2 linked regions of the Xenopus tropicalis genome follow. The protein of the gene in region 1 purifies or fractionates together with the protein of each later gene. This does not show direct contact. Links are inferred from orthologs where the notes say so. Each region holds a gene or a part of one and is shown in the gene's direction. Other genes may lie near its edges.

Region 1 (7,518 bases):
CAAATTGGTCTCCTTTCCTTAAAACAAATTAAGGGTCCCTATAGAGATTAGTTTGCAAAATTAGATCAAGATCAAGGGGTTTCCTTAATGGAGAAGGATCTAGGGGTTTTTGTTGATAACAAGTTGTCTAATTCCAGGCAGTGTCATTCTGTGGCTACTAAAGCAAATAAAGTGCTGTCTTGTATAAAAAAGGGCATTGACTCAAGGGATGAGAACATAATTTTGCCCCTTTATAGGTCCCTGGTAAGGCCTCACCTTGAGTATGCAGTGCAGTTTTGGGCTCCAGTCCTTAAGAAGGATATTAATGAGCTGGAGAGAGTGCAGAGACTGCAACTAAACTGGTTAAGGGGATGGACGATTTAAACTATGAGGTTAGACTGTCGAGGTTGAGGTTGTTTTCTCTGGAAAAGAGGCGCTTGCGAGGGGACATGATTACTCTGTACAAGTACATTAGAGGGGATTATAGGCAGATGGGGGGTGTTCTTTTTTCCCATAAAAACAATCAACGCACCAGAGGTCACCCCTTTAGATTAGAGGAACGGAGCTTCCATTTGAAGCAGCGTAGGTGGTTTTTCACGGTGAGGGCAGTGAGGCTGGGGAATGCCCTTCCTAGTGATGTGGTAATGGCAGATTCTGTTAATGCCTTTAAGAGGGGCCTGGATGAGTTCTTGATCAATCAGAATATCCAAGGCTATTGTGATACTAATATCTACAGTTAGTACTAGTGGTTGTATTTATAGTTTATGTATGTGAGTGTATAGATTGGTAGGTGTGGGTTAGGTGTGCTGGGTTTACTTGGATGGGTTGAACTTGATGGACACTGGTCTTTTTTCAACCCTATGTAACTATGTAACTAAGGTTAGTCAGCATTTGAGAGCAATATTGTTCAAACATACCACAGTCCCAGAACATATGGATCAGAGTGCCGTCACAGTCAGATATATATATATATATATATATATATATATATATATAATAGATAGATAGATATAGATATATTGGGGTAAAAAAAAAGCCTCTGTACACAATAGGCTATCATTAACCTTGTGTAGAAGATAAAACCGTAAAGTTAAGTAGAAGGTATATAAATACTTCACTACATGGAAAAAGTGATCCTATTCTAACTTCAAAAACCTTAAAGTCCATATATAAAAGGTGGAGTATACGAGCAGAGAAAGCCACCACAGTGGGTAAATAGGATAAATTCAGAACACATTCGGGATGAAATAAGGTAACAAGTTGAGTTTTGCAATCCATGACTCATGTTTAGAGGAAAGAGGCCAGGACATTATGTATATACTCAATGTATTTAGCAATCATTCCCATATGTTCTGCGACGCCAATATGTGTTGTTTGGGATGTTGTATGTTTAAACCAGGGCGGAACCACCAGATGCTGCTGAACTACAACCCATTGCATCAGAACAAGCTTTGAATGTAGGTGAGAAGCCGCAGGAGGAGCATGCCAGCTAAACGTAAATGATAGTCTATTCAGATCTACCGTATTTTTCGCCGTATAAGACGCACTTTTTCTTCCCCAAAACTGGGGGGGAAAAGTTGGTGCGTCTTATACGACGAATACGCCTGAGCCCCACTCAGGTTTCCCAGCATGCTCGAGTACAGGCGCCAGTTGGCCCCAGAGAGTGTCACCTCAGTGTCTCAGGCCGGCTCTGCAGCCATGGAATAGGCACAGCATTCAGCAGCCTGAGCGGCTATGGGATCAGCAGGCACCTCAGTGAATGGGGCAACCCCCGGCAGTACTGTGGGACAGCCCCCCCCCGGACGTCTGACAACGCAGAACGTCACACCGAGCGTCGCTATGGCAAGTTGCGGGGTTTCGTATTTTTTAAATTCGCATTGCTTACCCATACTGGGGGGCCTCTTGGGTGCTAGTAGGGTAGGGTGGGGAGTAGTAAATAGAAATGATGGAGCAGGCGGGCCGCGCTCAAGTATGAGGTGAGTGTGGGTGCACAGAGGAACATGAGTGGAACACAAGTGGAACGAAACACTCAGACAGTTTGTGTTATTGCTGTGACAGCGCTGGGACGCACAGCCCGGGCAGGTGTTTCTGGGGAGGAGGCAATAAGGCACTACATGTACATTTAGATTCCGTGGGGGGAGGGCCGGGCGTCTCTTCTCACATGCAGAAAGTATCCCTCAGTGTGACACCGTGCCGTCATGTCAGTGCTCAGGTGACAGGGAGATGTGCGCCTTTGGACCATAGTGTGTGGGGGCGGGTTCCGGCTGCAACATGTACGGGTAGCTGGGAATGGCAATGCCGGGCTGGGCAGGCTGTGTGCGGCGGGACAGTGACAGATGTGCTACTGGCAGATTTTTCTAGATTTTCCTCCTTTAAAATTGGGTGCGTCTTATATTCCGGAGCGTCTTATAGGGCGAAAAATAAGGTAAGTATTTTTCATTCAGCGGTTGGAAATGGAAAACAGTGGCTATGATGGGATAAATAAACATACCTACAGTGTTAGTGAGTGTCCTGGGGGCCACTACAGAGCCTGACATCCTGGACCCACAGCAATTAGATATAGATAGTGCCAGATTGTATAAGTTTTTATATAGGTCCAGGGTGAAAATATTGATCGGCCTAAGCCCACTGGGACATCTCTGGTAGACTAGTCCGACACTGCATCACCCAGCCATTGATTTTCTCCTTTCTTTTTTTTCTTTCCTTTCAGAGACAAAGTTTAGTATCCTACAAATCTCGAGAAGAGGATCCGTGTCTTACAGAAACAGATGTATGTACTTAGAATTCCCTGTGTAACTCATGATACCATTACCTGTGTGCTATACTATGCACATAGCTATAGTTAATTTGGGTTAAAAAAAAAAAGACTCTTCCAAATGCATGTGCATACAGAGCTATCTTTACCTTCACATACATATTATACTAAACTAACTGTGGCCTTGTGTTTGTACAACTGAATAAAACTTGGGATCATTTATCAACACTGGGCAAATTTGCACCTGAGCAGTAACCCACAGCAACCAATCACTAATTAGCTTTTGTTTAGCCATCTGAAAGTATAACAATCACAGCAAACATCTGATTAGTTCCTTTGGGTAACTGTCCAGGTGCAAATTTGTCCCGAGATCATAAATAAGCCCAGTGGTTTACCTGTCTAACTTTTTTTTATCAGAATAGTCATGCAGGTATTCCATTCCAGGCTGCTCTTATGAGAGTAGTTCTCTATGTGTTTTAATCGGGGACCCTGGCCTGTAACTGTATTAGTACGACACTAGAATTCCAGTTGCACCCCATTTATATCCTGTGATTGTCTGCCCATTAATGTGTGCACATAATAATTCTCTATAAGCTATTTATTCAATAGCATATCAATCACAATAAAATAACTAGCAGTAACTGAGTGTGTGTATAGGGACTGCATGAGCATCGGTTAACTCATGTAAAAGCCTACATTTTCCTACCATGTATATAAGTTGGACAGGTCTTCCCCACTCAAATGGCATCAATTGTACTGCATATATCCCCTCTGTTTGCCAGCACCATCACATTTTCCTAAAACAAATACCAGCTTTTTTGGCTGCTCTCAGCCCCTCTCACACATCTTCAGTGACATTTACATCTGCAAACAGCACATGTGTGCATAAAGTTCATGCAATGAAGAATGCAGGCTTACACGGGCAGAACTTACTTTGATCAGAACTCTTGCTTGGATTGTGCCCTGTAAAAGTTATACTGAGCTCAAGACAAGGAGGTTAGGAAAAAAGCATGTTTCTCCAGCAGAGTGCACAAGAGCAGAATATCTGTGGAAATTCTTCGTTGGCTGCTAGACTGGAGGGTGTGTTTGGTAACCAAAGTTGATAAGAACTGAGCATGCTTAGTAGCCAAGAGCCAAAGTCATTTTCTAGGGGAAGGGGCCGAATGGGTTAGAGGCGGAAAAGGAATCCTAAGTGATTGACTAACAGGATGCTGCAGCCTTACTATTAACTTTTTAACAACAGGAGTGGCAAAAAGGCTATTTTACATGTCCTGTAAAGGCAGAAATATAAGGTAGATAATACAAGATAAGATAAAATGCAAGCTTTCTGTACTACTTAGGTGCCTACTTCAGGTATGGTATCTGTTATGGGGGAAGTATAGCCCTTATTCAACAGTTAATGGGTAGGCTTGCGCAAAACATACTTTAGAGTACTCTGAAGTAAGTATTTCTACTCTAAAATGTAAGAACAAATATATAAAATATTATCATAAGACCTTGGGAGTTCTACACAAATCAGGATTAGCCCAGGGCCCTTTGCATATAAATAACTAGCAAAAAGCTTGGTGTTTTCTGCTTCTGCCCTCAATATACAGAGAATGCCCAGTTTTTCCATCATTCCCTGAGCCTGTGGAGCTTACACTTTACCACAGCTATACAAACCCTATCACCCCAGTGGTGTGAGTTTTTCCTTAGTCATGTTAGTAGGTTTGGAAAGAAATAGGTGCACTCAAAAATGTATGGAAGCACGCACACAAATGTTACATTCCATGTTATTGCCCCTTATTTATATGATGTCTCTGTTTTAGATTTCAGCCATGTATTCCACTGTGTCTAAAACTAGTGGGCAGTCCTTCGAACTTCAAGAGGAATTTTCCCACTATGCTTACATTCAGGATATTGCACAGGACACATCCCCAACCACCTGCAATGGTACTTATGCCACTGTCAGAGACCTTGATAAAAGCCCAGATAGCATAGCTGGGCCCCATGCGATGGACAAAGCAAATGGAGGGCCTGATCCGGAGTATGAAGCCATTGCTAACTTAAGCAGAGAAGAGGAAAGGACTATGTTATACACCAATGCTGGCCAAACGCTTCTTGCACATGGAGAGAGTGACTATGAAAGTATTGGGGATTTGGTACAAAATGGGGATTTTACAAGACTTTAAAGGCCTGGGAAGTGACTTTCTCTCTTTTCAAGCTTGAATAGCACATGTCTGTGATGGAGCCTTTTGTACTTTTCTCATTGTGGAGTGAGGACACGGAAAAAGCACACATCTGCTTATTGCTGCCTTCCAGGCCCACGTAGGGGCCTTTTCATATCAGCCTTAAAGAACATGTGCCAGGCATTAACCATAATCTGAAGGATTGCCAAATGGGAACTGATCTTGAATTCAGGCAGCTTCTAGGTAGTTTTGTATTTTTTTTTTTTAAAGAAATCTTCCATAAATGACTTTTATTCTGCAGCTGTACTGTGTATACAAATAATGGGATTTAACAGTGTTGATAATTATATTGAGAGAAAAGCTAATGGTCACAGCAGGATTAAATCTACATTGTTTAGAATACCATTGGATATGCCAGAAAGTGTGTTTTTATTATTCTGAATAGCTTACAATTAGGTTGTATAGCAGCAACGGCAGTGCTTGCATTGTAACATGAAGTATGCAGTAGGCTGATGCTAGAATAAATGGGATCAGACTGATCAAGTTACGCCCCTGTACAGCTGCTCAGCTTTATACTCCGTTCTCATAATCGAGGTATTAAAGTCAATTCTCCCAATGTGGTGGGCCATGTCTGGGAATAAATAAAATATGCACTCCTCTAGTATTATCCCATTATGCAAACCATGTGTTGGGGCTTTTTATTGTTAGACTGGCCACACGCGCACAGGTTCATTCATACAGTTGGACTGATTTAATGTATGACTTCTGACTCTGTGCTCATGTTGCTCCCTTTAATATCATTAATGGATCAGACAAACTTCTGCCCATGACCAGCCTGTCTGAATCTTACCAGCAGTCATGTGATTTCTATTGGTTACTCCTGCAGAACAGGAAATATTTTTCTTTGTTTCACTATACAGTTACCATCATTGGACTTGGGGCTGGTATGAGACAATGGCAGGCTGGCATACCAAAGCTAAAAGTGTCACCCACAACTCAAGTGGAAATGCATTCTATACTGAGGGGTCAGAACCAGAACAGCGAGGCTGGGCTTAGCTGCCTGGTATATCCTATTTATGTAACCAACTTGGAACTCAAGGCTGCAAAAGATTCCCTACAGCTCATACAGCAGGCAAAGGCTGACGAATTTCACTAATGACTGACTTCTAATTATTTTCCCCCAATAAACACCACTTTACTTCTGCTGCCTAAAGTGATAGTAGGGGGTTACATTTTACAAGCAAGGCGGCACTGAGACACACAGCAGGATTATACCAGTTTGCTGCTAGGCGGGGGGGGGGGGGGCACCATAACCCAGAGAGACAGGATCAGTGGGGAGAAATATGAGACGCAGGCAATTGCTAATAGAACCAGTTAATGCAAAAATATTTTTAATACACCTGTGGAAGGTTGTATGATTGCAGAAGAGCCATGACAGAATGAAGTGAAGGGGTTTGGGGACATATATGCCCAAATGAAATTAGAAAAAGGTCTAGGTGATACATTGTTAAAACGGTCTGTTCAATTTACAGGTTCTGCTGCCCTCTAGTGCCCAATAAGTAGAATACTATAAAAGATATTAATTGGTGTAGTTTTATTTTTTATACAGTCCACTTGCCTGAAAAGCATAGTAGCAGCCCTAACTAGCACAGTAATTACCACCATAGGTTGGTTCCTAAGTGACCAGTCCTGCAAAGATTGCTAAGCAGTATTTGTGAGTGTATTTTTAAGCATTAGTTTTGAGGTGCTGGTACAGACTAGTACAGCGGTGTAATATGTTTGCCTCTAATTACTGCCCTACCTACACACATCTGTGGCTCACAATACCTAGCAAACCATACAGTTCCTGCCCCTGCTTTAGATCAACAGCAGTGGTCCCATGTCCCAATGTGGGAAATCAAACTGGCTGGCAAATCAGTTGGTAATCAGTGGGTAATCAAACAATGCTGGCTGACATTCTAGTAACTAAAGGATGTGTATATAGGGCCAAACTTGTACCTGCTCTAATCTAGCATACTTCACCTCTGCTGTATATAAAGCTGTGCTCTTCCATTTTATTGATTCAGATGTACAGGAATTTTGTCAAAAAATGTGAGGTTTAAGGTCCTCAAACATTTGTGAAATACAGACTTCTTTAAGTAGGCTGAGGTTGTAGCAGGATACAGAAAGCTGTCGATGTGACTATTAATTACTCTTCATACTGCCACCCTTTTCTTCTGTAGAAAAAAAACTTATTACTCAGGTATGTTTATTCTTTATTCAACAAATGCTGTAAAGATATAAAACCAAAATGAGTCAATGTAATGTAAAGATGATGAGCTTGCCTTATGTCAATGATCTGGGGAGCAAAAATCTCAGTGTAGCAGTCTTATTCACTAATTCACTTATTCACTGATGCTGGTAAATATAGGGGCAATGTCTATAAAACCAGTAGAGTCCATATCCCAGTCAATAGCAGACATATATAAGGGAAATTCAAATATATCTGACTTGCAAGTGTTTCAGTTTCATGCAACAGACTGAAGACATTTGGGTAGTATGTAATAAATGGTCTTAAGTGTGTTACTTGTCTAAAAATAACCCATAGCAATCAGTCAGCAGGTAGCTTTCACCTGT
Region 2 (7,518 bases), on another chromosome or scaffold:
CTGGTTATCTAGCTAGCCATGGCAACCCAACAGTAGAACAGAAAACTGTGAATATAAAATAACAAAAATTAAAAATTAAGGCTACTTAAAAGCTGGCTTAGAATAATACTGTGTGCATCATATTAAAAGTTAATTTTAGGGTGAACAGACCCTTTCAGTATGTGTGTTTCATAAATTCCGTTAAATTTAACTGCAGACTGACAAATGGAAGGTGTCACTATAAATAACAGAAATCCATGCCTGAAACTAGGGGTACAGAGAATGTACATACTACATACATACATACATACATATAAGCATATATACACACTTCAGCAGAATTTGTTGGTGGTCAGATCCAAAAAGCTATGGATTCAGTGCATCCCTAAATAAAACCTAGCCACGGTTTCTGTATTCCTCTGTGATTGTGACCTTTACCATTGTGATTGTAGCATGTAATTACAATCCAAAACCAATTATCCTATTAACACTTTATTTCCACACTAACTTTCCTTTCTGAATGTAGTTTTAAATTTGCATTAACATTGGAAATAGGTGAGATTTTAGTGTGAGAATATTGTTTTTTTCTTTTCTTGGTGGGTGGGCTTTTTATTGCATGCAGCTTGCTTTTAAAGTGCATGAGTATTTGTGATTGCATGCCAAGCTCTGTGTGGGAAAGGAGGGGTCCATGCCAATGGTTATGAATTCATACCAGCAGGCCTTTAAAGTGGCAATAAATATCAAATAATTGGAAACACAGCTATCATTAAGTTTATTTTATTTAGTATATGCATCCTGTGGCATTGCTACAAAGGTAACAGGAGCTGCCTGTTAAAGGGCAAATATACCCCCACACAATTTCTTTATAGATTTTGCATAGCACTGGAGAATTGCCACCCTAGAGCCAATGGCATGGGTCCCTTCTTCCGTTCCTTCTAAATGCTAGCTGATGCTAATGTGCATATTCTTGGGTATGTTGTGTTGCAGGTACATGGAATGGAAACACAAAGGTGGCGATAAAGACACTGAAGCCAGGCACCATGTCTCCAGAATCTTTCTTAGAAGAAGCACAGATCATGAAGAAACTGAAGCATGATAAGCTTGTGCAGCTCTATGCTGTAGTGTCTGAGGAGCCCATTTATATTGTCACCGAGTACATGAGCAAAGGTCAGGATTCTAAAAGTCTCTTCTTAGATATAATACTTATTAATTAGTAAATTATGATCATATGATGTCAGACTGACATTACTGAAACACACAGATTGTATTGAACACATAATACCCATGACACCCCAGTTATTTCAACTGAACAAATACTTCCACTAAGCCTGCTTTATCTGTATCTTTAATGTTGTATGGTTAGAGATGACAATTTCTCCAGAGACCCAAATTTAAAGATAAGATGTAGAAGCAAAGTGAAATAACTGCCTCTTTAAAGCCCCCAGGAAGCCCCTGACATGCATAGGGGTATTAATGTGGGTTTCATTGCTCTCTTTGTGACGGGGAAGATGCATATCATCTACAAGTGCAGATGCATGCCTTGCAATATCTGGAAGTGCTTGACTAGCAGAAGTCTTCACTGTGCATGGCCTTCCTTTAGTGTAAATAGCCATTACACTGCATTACAGAAGTGTATATTTTCTGGTTGCTGCTGTTGGAATAGGCTCTCTTCTGCTAGTATTTACAAGACACATTCTGGTTCATGTAATGGATGGAACTATATAATAAGCGTTTAGGAGTAAGACCCACAGTGATGTATTTTTCTTCTGCATGCCAAGTGAGCCCTGCTCCTACAGCAGACACCTCAGGCACGTACGGTAAAGGGTTCTTTACCTGAGCATTTGGTGCGGAAGAGTAGTATGGGTAGTGTCACTTCATACCTGAACAGGATGCAGCAGATATCAGCTGCCTATCTGCACTAAAGGATGAGATTTTTGCTTGACAATATTATACCTTAAAGGAAAACTATACCCCAAAACAATGTAGATCTGTATAAAAATATACTTCTTAAAAAGATCATATATAAAACCCTGCTTCATCTAAATAAACATTTTCATAAAAATATACTTTTTAACCCCCCTTCCCTCCCCCCAACCCCCTATGCGACCCCAACTTTACTCTTTCTATCTTCCCCCCACATGTTTTATATGTAACCTACCTTGTTGTAAAACAAAAATTAAAAATAAAGTTTTAAAAAATAAATAAAAATATATATACTTTTTTAGTAGTATGTGCTGTTGGGTTATCCTAAATAGAAAATTGCCATTTTAAGAATGAAGGGCCGCCTCCTGGGATCATAGGATTCACAGTGCACACAAACAAGCCAAGGCACACTTACATGCTAGGCCCCATCAGCCAATTAATGGACAGAGTTCTGCCTTTTGCCTCCACACTTCCTCCTGTTACAGTGAGAGCTGCATTATTTCCGGTCATGTGATCTCTGAGGGAGCACACAGCCCATCACTAAATGGTGGATCAAGGGAAAGCATGTAAAAGGGCAATATTTACTGATATATATACATATATAGATATATACACAAGCCTTGGGGCTCCCCAAAGACAAATTCAGCTGTTGTTAGGGATATTCTTATATATCCTATTAATACATCTGGAATTTCTAATTTAAAAAAGTAATAAAGTTGGTTAATTTGAATATTGTTCTAATGCAGGTAGTTTACTAGATTTCCTAAAGGATGGAGAAGGAAGAGCCTTGAAGTTGCCAAATTTAGTAGACATGGCTGCCCAGGTACAGTAAAGTTTCATTATTAATTAAGGTCATCATTACTCAAACTGCAGTCTAAGCTTCATTAATCAACTCCATATTATTGAATTTATTTTTATTATTGCCTTTTTTTACTTACTGTTGCAAATTTATTTACTAATGTTTTCTATTTTTACTGACAGGTTGCTGCTGGCATGGCTTATATTGAGAGAATGAATTATATACACAGAGATTTGAGATCTGCAAATATTTTGGTTGGAAATGGCCTTATTTGCAAAATTGCTGATTTTGGCCTTGCTAGATTGATTGAAGACAATGAGTACACTGCAAGGCAAGGTATGAAAGCCATGATGATGTGCTTTTAAAGAATGGTAACAGGAACTTGGAAAGCAGTATGTAGATTCATTATCAATATGTATTACATATAAAAGCAATCGTACATAGAGTGATTTCAGGCACTTTGGTGCTGCCAGTAGCTTAGTCGTTGGCATATAATCATCCCCCCCCCCCAGTGCTTGTGTAAACAATTGTCAGGTAGCTGTCTCTTGTAAAATTGTCAATCTGCAAGATGCAAGACATTGCCCAAGCTTAATTGGCTTCCTTTAAAAACACACAAATAACACTTCCATGTTTTTTGAATGTAGTGGGAAGCTGTTGTAGCTTTCTATAATACATTACATCCTCCTATTATGGAGGAACTCAAAGATAAGGCTTGTCATAACTAGTAAGGTCATTTCTATACTGTACATCAGACCTACAGTCCAAACCAAGCACCATTCCTGCAGTCCACATTTTGGTTCCTGCCTGCACCATTGCTGTTTGGTTTCTGAATCGGGGCTGTTTAAAGGAGAAGGAAAGGCTAATAAAGTGTTAATTTCAAGCTGCAGGCATACTTTCAGTTCTCTCAATAGTGCCCTTAAGTCTCCCCATATTTTGCCTATTCAGCCTCATAGGAAAAAAGAACCCTGAGCTTTGTAAAAAAATTCCCATATTGCCACGCTCCTGCACCAAGACCATGACCTCTGTACATGCGTAGTTTGTAAGACTATGAGGAAGCTTCCTGCTGATTGGCTCAGATCCACATTCCTAAGGGCGGGGGGGGGGGGTTGTTAGCATTCTTATGGGAGAGAGGAGAGAGCTGTGCAGACTCTGGCACAGAAAAAAGTAGACAAGAAATCGTGTATTTCTTTTGATAGACAACTCAGTGCATTAAGTGCTATTTACATAGACCATTCTGATAAAGCTTACTTAGTTATTACCTTTTCTTCTCCTTTAAAGGAACAGTAACACCAAAAAATGAAAGTGTATAAAAGTAATTACAATATTATGTACTGTTGCCCTGCATTGCTACAGCTGGTGTGTTTGCCTCAGAAAGACTACTATAGTATATATAAGTAAGCTGCTGTGTAGCCATGGGGGCAGCCATTCAAGCTGGAAAAAAGGAGAAAAGGCACAGGTTACATAGCAGATAACTAGTAGATAAGCCCCATATAATGGGGGTTTATCTGTTATCTGCTAAGTAACCTGTGCCTTTTCTCCTTTGAATGGCTGCCCCCATGGCTACACAGCAGCTTACTTATATAAACTATAGTAGTCTTTCTGAGGCAAACACACCAGTTGTAGCAATGCAGGGCAACAGTACATAATATTGTAATTACTTTTATACACTTTCATTTTTTGGTGTTACTGTTCCTTTAAGGCTCTGGGCAAAGATCTTGTTGAATAGCAAAAAAATTGACCATGCCTACTTTGTGGCCACAACTTTAAAAACTATACCTATTTCACCAAAACATATCCCAGAAATGGATAATGAGCATATTAACCCCATCTGTTCCAGTTTAATCACTGTGTAGAAATGACCAATGAGCACTCCACACACGCCAGCAAGATCAGTAGATACAGTGCAAGCATTACATGCACTTGCTCAAGCAGAATACCAATAGCAAAGTTTTCTTCTTTTCTTGTGCTCCCACGCTGCTTGGCTTTCTCTCTCTGCCTGGCTTAAACACTTGTGAAAAAACCCAAGATGGCCATGCATTCCACAGTGCAATGAATTTCCTGAAGAGCAGGGAAGAACATTAACGCTGGGTGAGGAAGGCAGCAGCATAGGGGGGTAAAGCTGAGAAGGAGGGAAAAAAAGACATAGTGGCAAAAATATAACAGCTGCAAAAACATAAACATTCCAGCTGTTTAAAATCTCATCATATTTCATACAGTCGACATATTCTATATGGGTCACAGCACTAGCTTGTAAACTAGGGCAATGTATAAGAAAATAAATTGATTTTACATATAAAAGCTCTGGCTGCCAAAATTATGCCGAACTACAGTTGCCAAAATCCTCCGGTTACAGCTATTGATGTGTTCCTGGGGGCCTGTACCAGATCCCTGCTGTAAAGGGATATTTAAAATAGAAACCAGAGAGAGTTAGTGATGCTTCAAGTTCAGAATCCCTGTTGTATTGATATTTTCCTTGGATCAGCAGGTTCCCGAGAGCATAATTAAATGGCAAACAATTGCAGCTTTAGGGTGATACATTAAATGCATTTTTCTACATGCCTTTAGCATTAGGATGCTTTTATTGCTGATAAATAGGCCCCATGGTATGAAAGTGGTTAGGTGTGGTGTATTGCTTGATAAATATGTCTATAATCAATGCCTCAGCTCAGTTTGGGAGGTCCCAAGCATGAATATATACAGTGAGGAATGTAAGTATTTGAACACCCTGCGATTTTGCAAGTTCTCCCACTTGGAAATCATGGAAGGGTCTGAAATTCACATTGTAGGTGCATTCCCACTGTGAGAGACCGCATTTAAAAAAAAATTCAGCAAATCACATTGTATGATTTTTAAAGAATGTATTTGTATTGCACTGGTGCACATAAGTATTTGAACACCTGAGAAAATCAGTGTTAATATTTGGTACAGAAGCCTTTGTTTGCAATTACAGAGGCCAAACATTTCCTGTAGTTCTTGACCAGGTTTGCAGACACTGCAACAGGGATTTTGGCCCACTCCTCCACACAGATCTCCTCTAGATCTGTCAGGTTTCAGGGCTGTCGCTGAGCAACATGGAGTTTCAGCTCCCTCCACAGATTTTCTATGGATTTAGGTCTGGAGACTGGCTAGGCCACTCCAGAACCTTGATATGCCTCTTACGGTTATCCTGGCTGTGTGCTTCAGGTCATTGTCATGTTGGAAGACCCAGCCAGGACCCATCTTCAATGAGGGAGGGAAGGAGGTTGTTGCTCAAAATCTCACAATACATGGCCCCATTCATCCTCTCCTTAATACTGTGCAGTCGTCCTGTCCCCTTCACAGAAAAGCACCCCCAAAGCATGTTTTTACCACCCCCATGCTTCAGACCTACTGTGCAATGCATGATTTAAAAACCATGACGGCGTAGTGTTCTACTGACAGTGACCTTTAAACTGTGGTCCCAGCTCTCTTCCCAGCTCCTCCCTTGTAGTTCTAAGCTGATTCCACACCTTTCTTATCATCAGTGATACCCCACAAGGTGAGATCTTGCATGGAGCCCCAGTCCTAGGGAGACTGACAGTAGTCTTTTGCCTCTTCCATTTTCTAACAATTGCTCCAACAGTTGATCTATTTTCACCAAGCTGCTTGGCAATTGCCCTGTAGCCCTTTCCAGCCTTGTGGAGGTCCACAATTTTGTCTCTGGTGTCTTTTGACAGCTCTTTGGTCTAGTGGTATTAGTTGGAGTCTGACTGTGGGGTGGACAGGTGTCTTTAAAGAGCAGGTGCTACTAATTTAGATTAATGAGTGGAGTAGAGGTGGACTTTTTAAAGGCAGAGTAACAGGTCTTTGAGAGCCAGAATTCTTGCTGATTGCCAGGTGTTCAAATACTTATGTGCAGCAGTGCAATACAAATACATTCTTTAAAAATCATACAAGTGGTTTCTTGAATTTTTTTTTAAATGCTGTCTCTCACAGTGAGAATGCACCTACAATGTGAATTTCAGACCCCTCCATGATTTCCAAGTGGGAGAACTTGCAAAATCGCAGGGTGTTCAAATACGTATGTTCCTCACTGTATGTGTGACTAGGCAGAGAAAAAATGAGCTAATGTGCTTCAGTATGCTAGCTGCTAGTAATGCTATTGCAGATTTAAAAAAATAAATTTAATATAAGCTCTGGGTATATGCAGGTTATATTGTCTATTTGTAATAGGAATCTTTAAGATTAGTTCAAAGTCACAGAGCTCCTTTTTACATCCCTGTGAGGCATGAGGGGATGTTCTTAAAATTACATTTCTTGATAGATATAGCTCCACAGACTTATTAGATTGTAGCAAGGTCATATGGTATTCTTATGCCCTATGTTATTTCACATCACAGCCCATTAATATCCTTCACTAACAGGCCTGGACAGACAATCTGTGGGTTCTGGCAAATGTATGTATGTATGTATAACTCTATTTATAAAGCGCCACAAGGTTATGCAGAGCTATACAATCTTACAATATACAAAATTACATACAGGGAAGACAAGTATTATAATAAATACAATAAATAAATAAGTATAAATACACAGGGAGTAAGTGCCATGTAGTATGAGACACAGTAGGGAGGAGGTCCCTGCCCCGTAGAGCTTACAATCTAAGTGGTTGGGTAACATACAGGCACAAACTGGAAGGTAAGAGTGCACTAAGTATGGACATTTGCCATTAAGCGCAGGACTAGGCAAAATAATGTTTAAGTGCTCCAGAAGGTAACAGCTGAGCTTTATCTTAAAGAGAGTGGGTGAGTGTTCCCTACAGAGGGATTTAGGGATAGAGTTCTAGAGGTAAGGAGCAG

The links. Proteins that work in one complex are often made in the same cells at the same time.
Region 2: the proteins of pag1 (region 1) and fyn purify together in Homo sapiens (co-immunoprecipitation; 3 studies listed by BioGRID and IntAct, with this or other methods). This does not show direct contact. The link is inferred for Xenopus tropicalis from reciprocal best matches to the Homo sapiens genes PAG1 and FYN.

The regions. Positions count from the first base shown.
Region 1 is NC_030682.2:123,783,043-123,790,560, reverse strand, and holds the end of pag1 (phosphoprotein associated with glycosphingolipid-enriched microdomains 1), read left to right. Parts: intron 1-2,689; coding exon 2,690-2,749; intron 2,750-4,542; coding exon 4,543-4,905; 3' UTR 4,906-7,114; downstream 7,115-7,518. UniProt on the Homo sapiens protein: Negatively regulates TCR (T-cell antigen receptor)-mediated signaling in T-cells and FCER1 (high affinity immunoglobulin epsilon receptor)-mediated signaling in mast cells.
Region 2 is NC_030681.2:76,826,512-76,834,029, forward strand, and holds part of fyn (tyrosine-protein kinase Fyn), read left to right. Parts: intron 1-966; coding exon 967-1,146; intron 1,147-2,648; coding exon 2,649-2,725; intron 2,726-2,883; coding exon 2,884-3,037; intron 3,038-7,518. UniProt on the Homo sapiens protein: Non-receptor tyrosine-protein kinase that plays a role in many biological processes including regulation of cell growth and survival, cell adhesion, integrin-mediated signaling, cytoskeletal remodeling, cell motility, immune response and axon guidance.